2 linked regions of the Macaca fascicularis genome follow. The protein of the gene in region 2 purifies or fractionates together with the protein of the main gene of each other region. This does not show direct contact. Links are inferred from orthologs where the notes say so. Each region holds a gene or a part of one and is shown on either strand. Other genes may lie near its edges.

Region 1 (6,295 bases), on a different chromosome or scaffold from region 2:
CATTACTAAATACAGATGAGAAATTTAATCTCCTTAAAAATCTTATAACCTAATAATTCAATTTAGGAGTAAAAACATACATAAGAATTTTTATCAGAAACTAGGACAACAGCAAATAATCAGGATTAAATAATCGAGGGCAATAAATAAAATAATAAGGTGAAGAAGAAAGTTGAGTTTATTAAACGTGGGGAATGGGGAGTTAATTCACTAAGGTTTCATGAAAATGTACCTTGAATGCTTTTGGCAACACGAAGTAAATGTTTAGTTTTTAAATTTAATCTGAATAACAACCTAATCTGACTTTAACCATAAATTTAAAACTATGTAACTTCACACTGATAAATACTTTTACAAAAGTTAAGAATAACCTCACTATTTTTCAAGTAACCTCTGCATCTCAGTCTCACCAACAAGGGCCCTAGACTAGAAAATTAATGCCTTTGAAAGATGTGCCTGACTCACAACTGCCAAATTAAAGGAAATCCTCATTCCTTGCTCCTAATAATAAATGAAGATATTAAATATTTAAAATATTTTCTCATGAATGATGAATTATGATTTTCTATTAGCCTCATTTTATTTAGATTATTGAAAATCTAAAAACCAACTAAATAAGATACATAAATCTAACAAGTAGAGGAAATCTGCTACCAAATGTAAGCATTAAAATGTGAAAATATCTTTTTCCAGGGGTATCCAAGACACTTTTCAAAAGTAGTAATTTTTAGTGCAATATTTCTGCAGGAATGAGAAAAATCCAGTGATTTTATACTTGAAAAAGTTTGAATTTTTGATTTTGGCACTTTAAACTATATTACAAAAGCATTTGGATTTGACAAGTCTCCTTTGCCCTAGTAATTTGAACTAATATAGCAATGAAGATTTTCTCAAATAAAAAATAAAGTGTGAGTAACTTACAGTATGAGAGTGAATGTTGGTAAGAACTTCTCATTACCCAATTACAACTAGTGGCTAACAGAGTAGAGAACAAGAAGGAAACAAGTATGTGTGTTTGGGGAATCTCCGTAGGTTTTTCTAATAACTCCAGACACAATTCAGAAGCATTTCTCTATATATCCAGCATCCAAACTTTAAAAATACATATGTGGATTCTGTCTGCACAACTGTATGTTCATTGTCAGTAAAAAATTCTAAATTATTCTTAGTTTTCATTTCCTCTTGCTCCAAAGGCAATACAATTTAAACACATCCAGTTTTTTAAAAATCACATTTGAATTGGATATCATAGAATTTTAGAGTTGAACAGCCTCTTAGAGGCAGTTTAATCTGAATCTTTTGGTTCTTCAAGTAAAGAAACTGGACTCAAAATTATACCTAAGATCACAAAGTACAGAGTGACAGAGGTGGGATTTCAACCCTAATTCCCTGACTCTTCAGTGCCCTTTTAACCAGGCTAAGCTGCAGCAGATTCTTCAGGCAACTTGAAATCAGAATTACACATGAGAGCTATTTGAAAAATTTCTATTTTGTCTACTACTTAGTGTGAGGAACCTTATTTTACTCCAAAACCCAAAGATTTTAAGAAAAGTTAAACATTTATTTTTCTACTATGGTAAATATTAATGGAAGTTGAGCTCTGAAAATACTAACTTATACACAATTCCAAATTATTGCTATTTTCATCTTATCTTAAGAAGTTTAAATAAAATCATTCAAATTTCAGATGTTAAATTATTTTCTTCTACTTTATTAACATTGCAGTAAGGATCTTAGTGTAGGGTGAAAGCTTAAAGCTGGGAGTCAAGACACCTGAGTTTCTGTCTCATTTTTTATAATACTCTTAACTAGTTTACTGTCAAATCTCAAACTCTCTCTTTCTCATCTCCTGATTAAGGATCAGGAGACAGATCCCTACTGCCAGACATCTTATTTACATTGCTTCTAATTCTCACACCTTAGAAGATATGAATTATTCTACCTATTTTGCAGGAAACTGAAGCTCAGAGAGATTAAGGAAATTTTCCAAGAAACTGAGATGGTTAGTAGCTGAGCTAGAATTTAAAACCAGCTCTGCCTGACCCCAGCCAATGCCCATGTTCCTTGCATGACACCACTTTGCCCATATACTAATATAATGTGTGATCCTAGTATGGTTAGAACAAGAAGTACTACATTTGCAGGATTATTAGGGAGATTAAGGTGATAAAACAAACTAAAATACATGCTGAAAAAAATACTGTAACTCTTTAGTTATTAAATTGAGAATAAATTTTTAGTAAAAAATTTTAAAACTAGTTATGCTATAGATACTATTCTCATTACTGTCGTCAACACTGAAGTAAGCACTGTAGAATTACAAAACACATGAATCTTGCTTTTAGAGAGAACACTGCAAATTAAAGTGGAACCCCATCCCTATTTCAGTAGTTAAAAATAAAATTACTCTCAAAGTCCCATTAAATCACATAGGTAAGTATATTTATTAAAATGTGTGTGTGTGTGTATAAATAGAACAGAAGGAATCAAGAGAACTTCTTACTAGTTCCTGCCCTTTCAAATAGATTTAGAAAACAACAACATTCTCAGATATGCAAGAAAAGATGAGAGATGCTTAATACTGGACACCTATACAGCATATATTAATACAGTGTACTATCAACCATCTTCACCCCTACAGATAAAGATACTGTGCTTCTGACAAAGAAATGTTTCCCCAAGTTTTCCTGTCATGTCTTACATATTCAGCAAAGTTAGTATCAGTAAAATGTTTGGTAGACAGTGGACAACTTACTCCCTGAATGTGGTCACTGGCTCTTTTTGTAAAAAAAAAAAAAAAAAAAGACCAGCAAATGTAGGGCCCATTAATAAACGTAGCCTAAAAGCAAAACCAGAATTGAAGTTTCAGGTTATCTTTCCTGTGTATCTTGCCCCACAACTGAAAATATCGAATTAGCTCAAAATGAAAAGTACTATGCACATTTGTCGTAAGTCCTCATACGTGACCTGATAACATGCGACAGCTTCTTTACATTAGAATCGTCAATACCTCTACGACTCTGGTTCTTTTCCCAACAATGGCCAAGGTGTTCATCTCTGTGTCTTCGGATAACGCCCACAAAGGTAATGACACTTTTGACCCTGTCAATTCACTCAGGGTTGCATCTACCTAGCTACAATTGCCCCCGCCCCCACTTCTCTTTTTACCTCCGTGAACAACCCCCGCTAATCCCCCATGGAACCACACAAACCGCCTACTGAAGAAGCGTTCTCCACCTGACCCATCTTCTGCATTAAACATTCATTCCGTCTCAGCTCATCCCGTCGATTTGCTCTTTCGTAAATCGCAAGACAAAGCTAGGACAAAGCTGCAAATTCAGGAAACCCGCAGAAAGAGAAAGAAAAAACAGAGGGAAGGGGGTGGTGGGCGGCGCGGGGTCTGCCTGTCAACTGGCTTCAGGGCGCTGGGAAAGGAGTGGGGCGGGCGCGTAGGACCGTCCTCCCGAGCAACGCCAACTCCCACCACAGCTCCCTCCCCTCACCTCGATCTCGCGGATGTTGTTGGAGGTGACAAAGATGCCAATGCCAATGGGAATGAAGATGAGGCCGATGATGAAGAAAATAGGTAGCACCGTGCCAGCCGTAAGGATGGGCTGCCAAGCTGGCAGCCGTTGCTGTTTGAAGGCCGTGTTATCCGGTCTCCGAGTCTTCGCGGTGCCCCCCGGAGCACAAGGGGGCCCACCGTCCACTTCATCCTTCGCGTTATAGTTCATCGCCATCGATCCCCGGGGCACCGCTCCGCCACTTGCAGGTGGACCACCCAGGGGGCCCGCCGGCTGACCCTGACAGGAACCGCTCGAGCTCCGCTGCCGCCGCCGCCGCCACCAGGGCCACCGCCACAGCCGCCTCCGCTGTGGAGCGGAAGAGGCGGGACACTCTTCCGCCAAAGGCCGCGGACAGGAAGCGTAAGTCGGCTGGAGACGCCAGAGGGAGGGAGAGAGGGAGGAGGGAGAAGAAGGAGGGACAAGGGGAGGGGAAAGGGGAGGAGGATAGAAGGGGGAAGGAAAAGGCGGACGCACCCTGATCATCTGTCCTGTGACGGACTCAGCCACCCGAGCGCGAAGCTACATTGGCGCATGCGCGGCCCTAGAGCTAGGGGATTCCGAGCCTGCGCTGTAGGCGTATCTTTGCTCTGTTGGCCGTGGCTTTAGTTAGCACACACCTGCCTGCTACTCTGGTTATAGTGGCGACTGCAGGTCTGGATTGCCAGACAGGTTTTTCTTTTTACCTCGAGGGTTTCTCTGAAGGGAGTCGGAGCATTTAAAAGGCGGCCTCAAGGGGGATTGAGTCGGGGGAGAATTAGCAGTATTTGCTTAGGTTGTAAAACCGCGAGTTTAATTAAATAAATCGCTATTCAAGGTGCAATTATAAACTTGGAACACAGGTGCGTAACATGTACCCCTTTTGTCCTAAAGTCAAGAATCAATAATGTGACTTAGCCCTATTATCTTGCCTCTAATTAAGCGATTCTCACTTATTTTTTCTCTATTGCTGATTCTCACGTTACTTTTCCCCTTTTCTATGTCCACCTTTCTCTTTTGCGCATTGATATAGGAAGTGTTTTGTAATAGGCTGTAGCTTTTTCTCTTACTGTTGTAAAAACCAGGACATATAGCATTACTACAAAATAAGATACCCCGTAAACACTTTAAAAGTGCCAGATATTTAATGACCCAAGGAAATACTCGTGATGTAAAAGGTGACTAAGTCAGGATATTAGAGTAGTGTAGCGACTGTAGAAGTATAATATAGAGCGGAACTAAAAAGTGAATAATGGTAACTCTGTTGACCGGATGGAGGAATTTTTTTTTTCCTGTTTCTTTGCACTTTTCTGTATTTTCCAAAATTTCTATAATAGGCGTATGTTATTTGTAAAATTTAAACAATTATATACAATCCACATTATACTGACATCTTTGAAGTCTAGGCCAGAGAGTAAGTCGCATCATTTGAAAATAAATTACTTTTAGGCTTAGTCTGCAGTAATGCCTTAAATAAGTTAAACTGAGGAAAGAGAAAATAAGGAGTGCTTGGTCCTCATAATTTACAGTTAGGCCGGGCACCGTGGGTCACGCCTGTAATCCCAACACTTTGGAAGGCCGAGGCGGGTGGATCACCTGAGGTCAGGAGTTCGAGACTAGCCTGGCCAACATGATGAAAGCCCGTCTTTACTAAAAATACAAAATTAGCCGAGTGTGGTGGCCGGGCCTGTAATCCCAGCTACTCGGGAGGCTGAGGCAGGAGAATCACTTGAACCCGGGAGGCGAAGGTTGCAGTGAGCCCGAGATCCCCCGTTGCACTCCAGCCTGGTCAACAAGAGTGAAACTCCATCTCAAAAAAAAAAAAAAAATTTACAGTTAAATTTTTTTCAAAATGACCACAAGTCTAAAAAATGTGAGCCAATCACATACTTACTAGGCAGAGTTTAGAGTGATACAATACTTGTTGCCCTCTAATAACCGACTTGCTTGGGTTTGCTCTTACATGACATTCATGCTCAAATTCTTAGCACTGCTGACATACTTAGGTCTATATTTTGTTTTGATCTGTTAAGTTTACCTTCAACCCCAGGCTCAAATAGGAAACAATCTATCACAGTTAATGGAGAAGTCATGGAATCCTTTTATTTTGCTAAGTTCTGTTAGTAAAAATGTATGCCAAAATATGGGCATATTGCAAAAGTACATATAAGGCAGGTTTTTCCTCCCCATTTCTGCCTATATCATCATGCCCACTAAATTTGATCATTTTTTAATATTTTGCTATTCCAGCACTCTGTATAAATGGTCATTTTACCTTCATTTTTTGGTTTTGTTCTAGTGAGCTGAGTGATTGTGATGTATTTATCTGCTTCCTTTTTCTTTATTTTTGTTTGTTCATAGGAAAATGAGTTAATCCCTTGTCTCTTTTTTTATTAGAAATTCCATTTTGACTGAAACATTTATAGAACTGAAACCTCCTGAGATTCTTCTCTAAAACTTAACATTTTCAGATGAGGTCCAGATGGATGAAATTGCTTTTCCAGATGTCTTGATATCCCTCCATTTCATTTTCTACTACTGTATTCTGCCACCACAATATGCATCTTTACCCAGCTGAAACATTTTTTTCAGCTCTACATTATTATCTCAGGGGACTCACAATTTTGTGATTTTCTTGGTCACATTATTTTATGATAGTCCTTACTAGGTGGTTTTTCATTTAATCTGCTGAAGTAGGAATTTTCAAAAAGCATCATTCAGCATTTCTAGGGCAACAGAAGAGAATAGTTCTC
Region 2 (5,629 bases):
CAGGGGTGAGCACCCCAACCCCAAATTGCTATGCAAGGACCAAGAGGGCTGTCAGCCGCTAGGACTACCCCCAAGTTCCGTGAGTGCTGGCATCACGCTGGGGGTAAGTGCGGGTTCTGTGGGGCTCAGGGTACCTTCCAGGATGTAGCCGGGGGCTGGAGGGTACAGCCAGAAGAGACCAGGAAACGGGAGCCTGTGGAAACCCTCAGATTCCAGGAAAGGCAGCAGAGCCACAGTGCCCACTGACCACCAGGTACAGCTGACCAGGGACACGTCAGGGTTCCAGGGGTCCAACAAGGTAGAGACGCTGCAGAGTCCCTGCCAGGAAGCCCCTGGCATTGCACTGCCAGCACCTCATTTAGGAGCACAGCCAGCAGCCCTCCTAGGACAGTAGCACCAGTGTCCTCGCCCCTGAAGTCCACCTCCAGGGGCTCTTGGGAGGCACCTTCACATTCATGCTGAAATTCAGAATTACAACAACCCAGAGGCCGCACCAGGCAACACCATGAAGTCTGATGCTGGACGTCTGTGTGTGACCCAGGCCCTGCCCCTCGGGAACTGACCCTGCACAGGGTGTCTGATCTGTCCGAACTGCTCCTTCCTCAGCTTTCACGTGATCTGAACGTCCAGCTGAAAAGGATGGTTATAGTGAACCAGGACGACGTTTGTGAGAGAAAACTGGAAAATCAAGTGCGGGAAAAAGGGGACTTGCTATCGCCACGGCAGGCTGCCAGGAGCCTGGAGTCTCAGAGCTCAGGACACTACGTCTTAGTTCTTTTTAAGGGCTACACAAGATGCTTACGTAAGCCCGACCCGGAGGAAAATCTCATAAAAGATACAAAAGAATCAACATGATGACATTCATGGCCTGGTGGCATTCGGGAATTATTCAATTAAAATAAACTAAGACAAAGAATAAATTCTAAAAAACCTAAAGCTTTTAAAACAGTGAAATAACATTTGAATGGATTCTCAAGATCGACCTGGTAAAAACGGATTTAAGTGATGACGAAGGATAACAGCAGAGTTTAGTAATGAGAAGTGAAAATGACTAAAGCAGGTAGACAGTGCACAGGACACGCAGAGGGACGTCTGTGTTTGAACCCAGCAGTCTGAGGGACAAACACACATGGAGAGAGAGGTCAGGCTAAACCGGGAACAAAGCCGATTTCTGTTTAGAAGTCACCCAGAAGGGGCTGCTGAAGAGAGACTTTCTCCGAGGTCAGCGCTGGTGTTTGCTTGTGCGGCTAAAGACCTGCGGCCTTTAAGCAGGGATGGTCTCTGACATCTACTCAGCGGCTGGCGCGGCTCTCTCAGATAGCACGGGGCCCCACCAGGCCTCCCACACACGCCTGTGCTGCTTTTAATTTAAAGTCGAGGGAAGCTCCCATCAATCCAGTCAATTCAGAAAACATCCCTGACTCAATGGGCCACCCTGACATGGAAACCGAGGCAACACAGCAAGGATGTGTGTCAGGAGGCACACGCCCCTTCTAACACAGAGCTAGCTCCTGGGTGCGTGGGGCACACGCCCCTTCTAACACAGAGCTAGCTCCTGGGTGTGTGGGGCACACGCCCCCTTCTAACACAGAGCTAGCTCCGGGGTGCGTGGGGCACACTCCCCCTTCTAACACAGAGCTAGCTCCGGGGTGCGTGGGGCACAGGCCCCTTCTAACACAGAGCTAGCTCCGGGGTGCGTGGGGCACACGCCCCTTCTAACACAGAGCTAGCTCCGGGGTGCGTGGGGCACACGCCCCTTCTAACACAGAGCTAGCTCCGGGGTGCGTGGGGCAGCAGCGGCTAACAGCGTTTCCACCGACAAAGCACACAGGAAGTCACGTTTGAAAATATTTTCGAGAAATATTTCATTTGTAATGCACTCCAAAAACACAGAGAAACGACAAACCCACGATTGTCTTACCACGTGTGTGTTGGTAGTCATTATCTGAGGGTGGGAAGGGAAGCCAGTGGCAAAAAGAAAAAAAGCAAGATACAAATAAAACAAACCCCCAGGGATTAGGCAACCAACCAGAGACTAAATGTTCACTAGAAAACTACAAATCTCTTCATTGCAAAAGAAGCAGACTTAAGTACGGTGCTCGGGGAAATCTAACACGGGCTCAACGTGGAATTCATTCTCATATTAAAAATGCAATGTCTAGGCCGGGTGCGGTGGCTCATGCCTGTAATCCCAGCACTTTGAGAGGCCAACATGGGTGGATCATGAGGTCAGGAGATCGAGATCATCCTGGCTAACACGGTGAAACCCCATCTCTACTAAAAATACAAAAAAATTAGCCGGGTGTGGTGGCGGGTGCCTGTGGTCCCAGCTACTTGGGAGGCTGAGGCAGGAGAATGGTGTGAACCTGGGAGGCAGAGCTTGCAGTGAGCCAAGATCGCGCCACTGCACTCCAGCCTGGGCAACAGAGCGAGACTCCGTTTCAAAAAATAAAACCCAAAAACAACGCAATGTCTAAATTGTGTAATTCTACCACTAAGTAATGAGCTGATGGTGAACTGTAACCTACAGAGATAAAGTCTGAAAACCTCAGCAGGCCAGCCGGGCAGGGTGGCTCACGCCTGTAATCCCAGCACTTTGGGAGGCTGAGGCGGATGGATCACGAGGTCAGGAGATCGAGACCATCCTGGCTAACACGGTGAAACCCCGTCTCTACTAAAAATACAAAAGAATTAGCCGGGCGAGGCAGCGGGCGCCTGTAGTCCCAGCTACTCGGGAGGCTGAGGCAGGAGAATGGCATGAACCCAGGACGCGGAGCTTGCAGTGAGCCGAGATCCGGCCACTGCACTCCAGCCTGGGCGACAGAGCGAGACTCTGTCTCAACAACAACAAAACAAAAAAACAAAAAACCTCAGTAGGACATTTCCTTCCAGTGACACTGAGCACTCAGATAATGCGACCCGGAGCGACGTGCATGTGGCGATCGACCCCGTTGGGAAGCTGCGCGGGCTGCACTGAATTACTGCTTTGACAAAATCATCATACAGGCTTGGGAGGGTTTATTCCCGAGCAGCTGAGTCGGCGCGCTCGAGCTCCGTACTGACCTGCCCGTTGCTCGTCACAGTTGTATTTTCAAACATGAAATAAGCACCAAAGAAGAACACCAGTGCGTCAAACAGTCCCAGGAGCGTCCAGTAGATGAACACTCGCCAGCGCAGCAGGGCATTCTTGGCGACGTCCCTATGTGAGGAGAAAAGTGCACAGCGTGTGTCCTCGAGAATCAGGGCTCGGCGCCGCCCCCGGGCTCCGGGGTGGCCGTCCCTGGACGTTGTCTTCATGGGATAAGATGTGTGTGGCCGGTAAACACGAGGTTTGTGCTCTGGCCACAAATGCGGCATGTCCGTCACAACCAGCATTTTACTACCCATTCATGTCCTTGGCTAACTTTTGCTTAGATTCTTTCTCTCATATTCACTGCAATATCGTCATAGGCAGAGAGATGCAAGCCATGCGCTGTTGCTTCTGAAAGTAACGAACACGGAACACAAGGCACACACCTGACATTCACTGAGCTTGTGACACCTTACACCTGACGTGACACCTTACGCCTGATGTGACACCTTACAGTTGATGTGACACCTTACGCCTGACGTGACACCTTACGCCTGTTCAATAAGATAGAATTTGCAGGATTCCTTCTGGATACATGTCTAGAACGGTATATCCTCTCCCGTTTTCTCAGATTTATTCCCAATTATTAAAGACGTACAACAAATTTTTTATCGTCGTCCTTAATCACCTACAGTGATTATTTTTGGGTCCAAGCCATCAAGATCCCATAGAATGGCTAAATATTCTGATGAGGGCAGCGAGGCTGATGCACGGATTCCTGCAGCATCCTGGGCAGGGAAGCGCGTGGTCTTGGCTGTGGTGGTAGATGCAGGAACCACGCATGTGAGAAGATTGCATAGAACTGAACACACACAGACAGGTGTCATGTACACACACGTACATGAGCACAGGGAAAGCTGCGTGATCTGAATAAGGGAACAGGAGAATGGCATCAACATCAACACATTGGATGTGATGCTGGACTGCAGTTTCTTGCATATCACCACTGAGAGACATGGGATCAGGGTCCACGGAATCTATTATTTCTTTTTTTTTTGAGACAGAAGTCTCGCTCTGTCACCCAGGCTGGAGTGCAGTGGCCGGATCTCAACTCACTGCAAGCTCCGCCTCCTGGGTTCATGGCATTCTCCTGCCTCAGCCTCCCGAATAGCTGGGACTACAGGTGCCCGTCACCACGCCCGGGTAATTTTTTGTATTTTTAGTAGAGATGGGGTTTCACCGTGTTAGCCAGGATGGTCTCGATCTCCTGACCTCGTGATCCGCCCCTCTTGGCCTCCCAAAGTGCTAGGATTACAGGCGTGAGCCACCGCGCCCGGCCGGAATCTATTCTTAATATAATCTAAATCTATATTATTTCTTACAACTGCATATGGATGTAAAATTATCTGAAAAACAAAATTCTAATTTATGATAGGGTTTGGCTGTGTCCCCACCCAAATCTCATCTTGAATTGTAGCTCCCATGACCCCCACCTGTTGTGGGAGGGACCTGGTGGGAGGTGGTTGAGTCATGGGGGCGGTTTTTTCCCATGCTGCTCTCATGATAGTGTCTAAGTCTCACGAGATCTGATGGTTTTATAAAGGAAAGTTCCCCTGCACACGCCCTCTCGTCTGCCACCACGTAAGACGTGACTTTGCTCCTCATTCACCTTCCGCCATGACTGTGAGGCCTCTCCCCAGCCGTGTGGAACTGTGAGTCCACTCAACCTCCTTCCTTCATAAATTACCCAGTCTCAGGCATGTCTTCACAGCAGGATGAAAACGGACTAATACAATTTAAAAGACCATGGAAAACAGTAACATACTGAATCTTCCAGAGACCTTGGGGGGCATTTCTGAAATAGCAGAAAAATATCTCTTCCATATTATTAAAAAAAATATAACTTTTTGGGAGAAAAGACACCCTGAAAGCAGAGCTGTTAATTTTTCTTTTTTCTCACTGAATGGAACACACATGGTTTTAAAGGGTAACTTAGGCCACAGACTCCCTGGAGTCACAACGAGGAAGACGCTGGTACCCCGGCTCCCTTAGGACTGTTAGAAAGCACAGGAAAGTGCAAACTGGCTCCACACAGATGTTCCAAATGCAGCGTAAACCATCCAGCAAGGCTTAAAGAGTCTCCCTTTGAACTATGTTGCTTCCAGTTTAAAGAAGCTCCTGACCAGGCAAGAGTATCAGTAGATGCTGAATGTTTCTGGCCCTTAACTGGGGTCTGCCAGGTGGCTACTGGAAGAACTGCCAGAGTGCTGCCTGGTTATTCTCTGTGCTCTCAGGGGAGGCTGTGTGGAGGATGGTACCTGTACAGGGTCGGGTCTCTCTTAAGCACGTCGATGCCAATATGCTGCTCCATGAGGCTGTACAGGAGGATGGGGAGGGAGGTGAAGCTGATGTTGTAGAGGGTCAGATACGCGGTGTCGTACAAAGTCTGTAAGAGGAAAGACACAAGGAAGTGGCGCCTCAGTGCATTGTTACAAACTTTCTGGATCTTTTGATTAAATATATTTTCTTTCTGAAATGCCTAGAAAGATCAGAGCACTT

The links.
Region 1: the proteins of ATP11A (region 2) and TMEM30A purify together in Homo sapiens (co-immunoprecipitation; 4 studies listed by BioGRID and IntAct, with this or other methods). This does not show direct contact. The link is inferred for Macaca fascicularis from reciprocal best matches to the Homo sapiens genes ATP11A and TMEM30A.

What each region holds. Positions count from the first base shown.
Region 1 is NC_088378.1:99,839,519-99,845,813, reverse strand, and holds the start of TMEM30A (cell cycle control protein 50A), read right to left. Parts: upstream 4,082-6,295; 5' UTR 4,050-4,081; coding exon 3,504-4,049; intron 1-3,503. UniProt on the Homo sapiens protein: Accessory component of a P4-ATPase flippase complex which catalyzes the hydrolysis of ATP coupled to the transport of aminophospholipids from the outer to the inner leaflet of various membranes and ensures the maintenance of asymmetric distribution of phospholipids.
Region 2 is NC_088391.1:103,275,081-103,280,709, reverse strand, and holds part of ATP11A (phospholipid-transporting ATPase IH), read right to left. Parts: intron 5,517-5,629; coding exon 5,389-5,516; intron 3,200-5,388; coding exon 3,064-3,199; intron 1-3,063. UniProt on the Homo sapiens protein: Catalytic component of a P4-ATPase flippase complex which catalyzes the hydrolysis of ATP coupled to the transport of aminophospholipids, phosphatidylserines (PS) and phosphatidylethanolamines (PE), from the outer to the inner leaflet of the plasma membrane.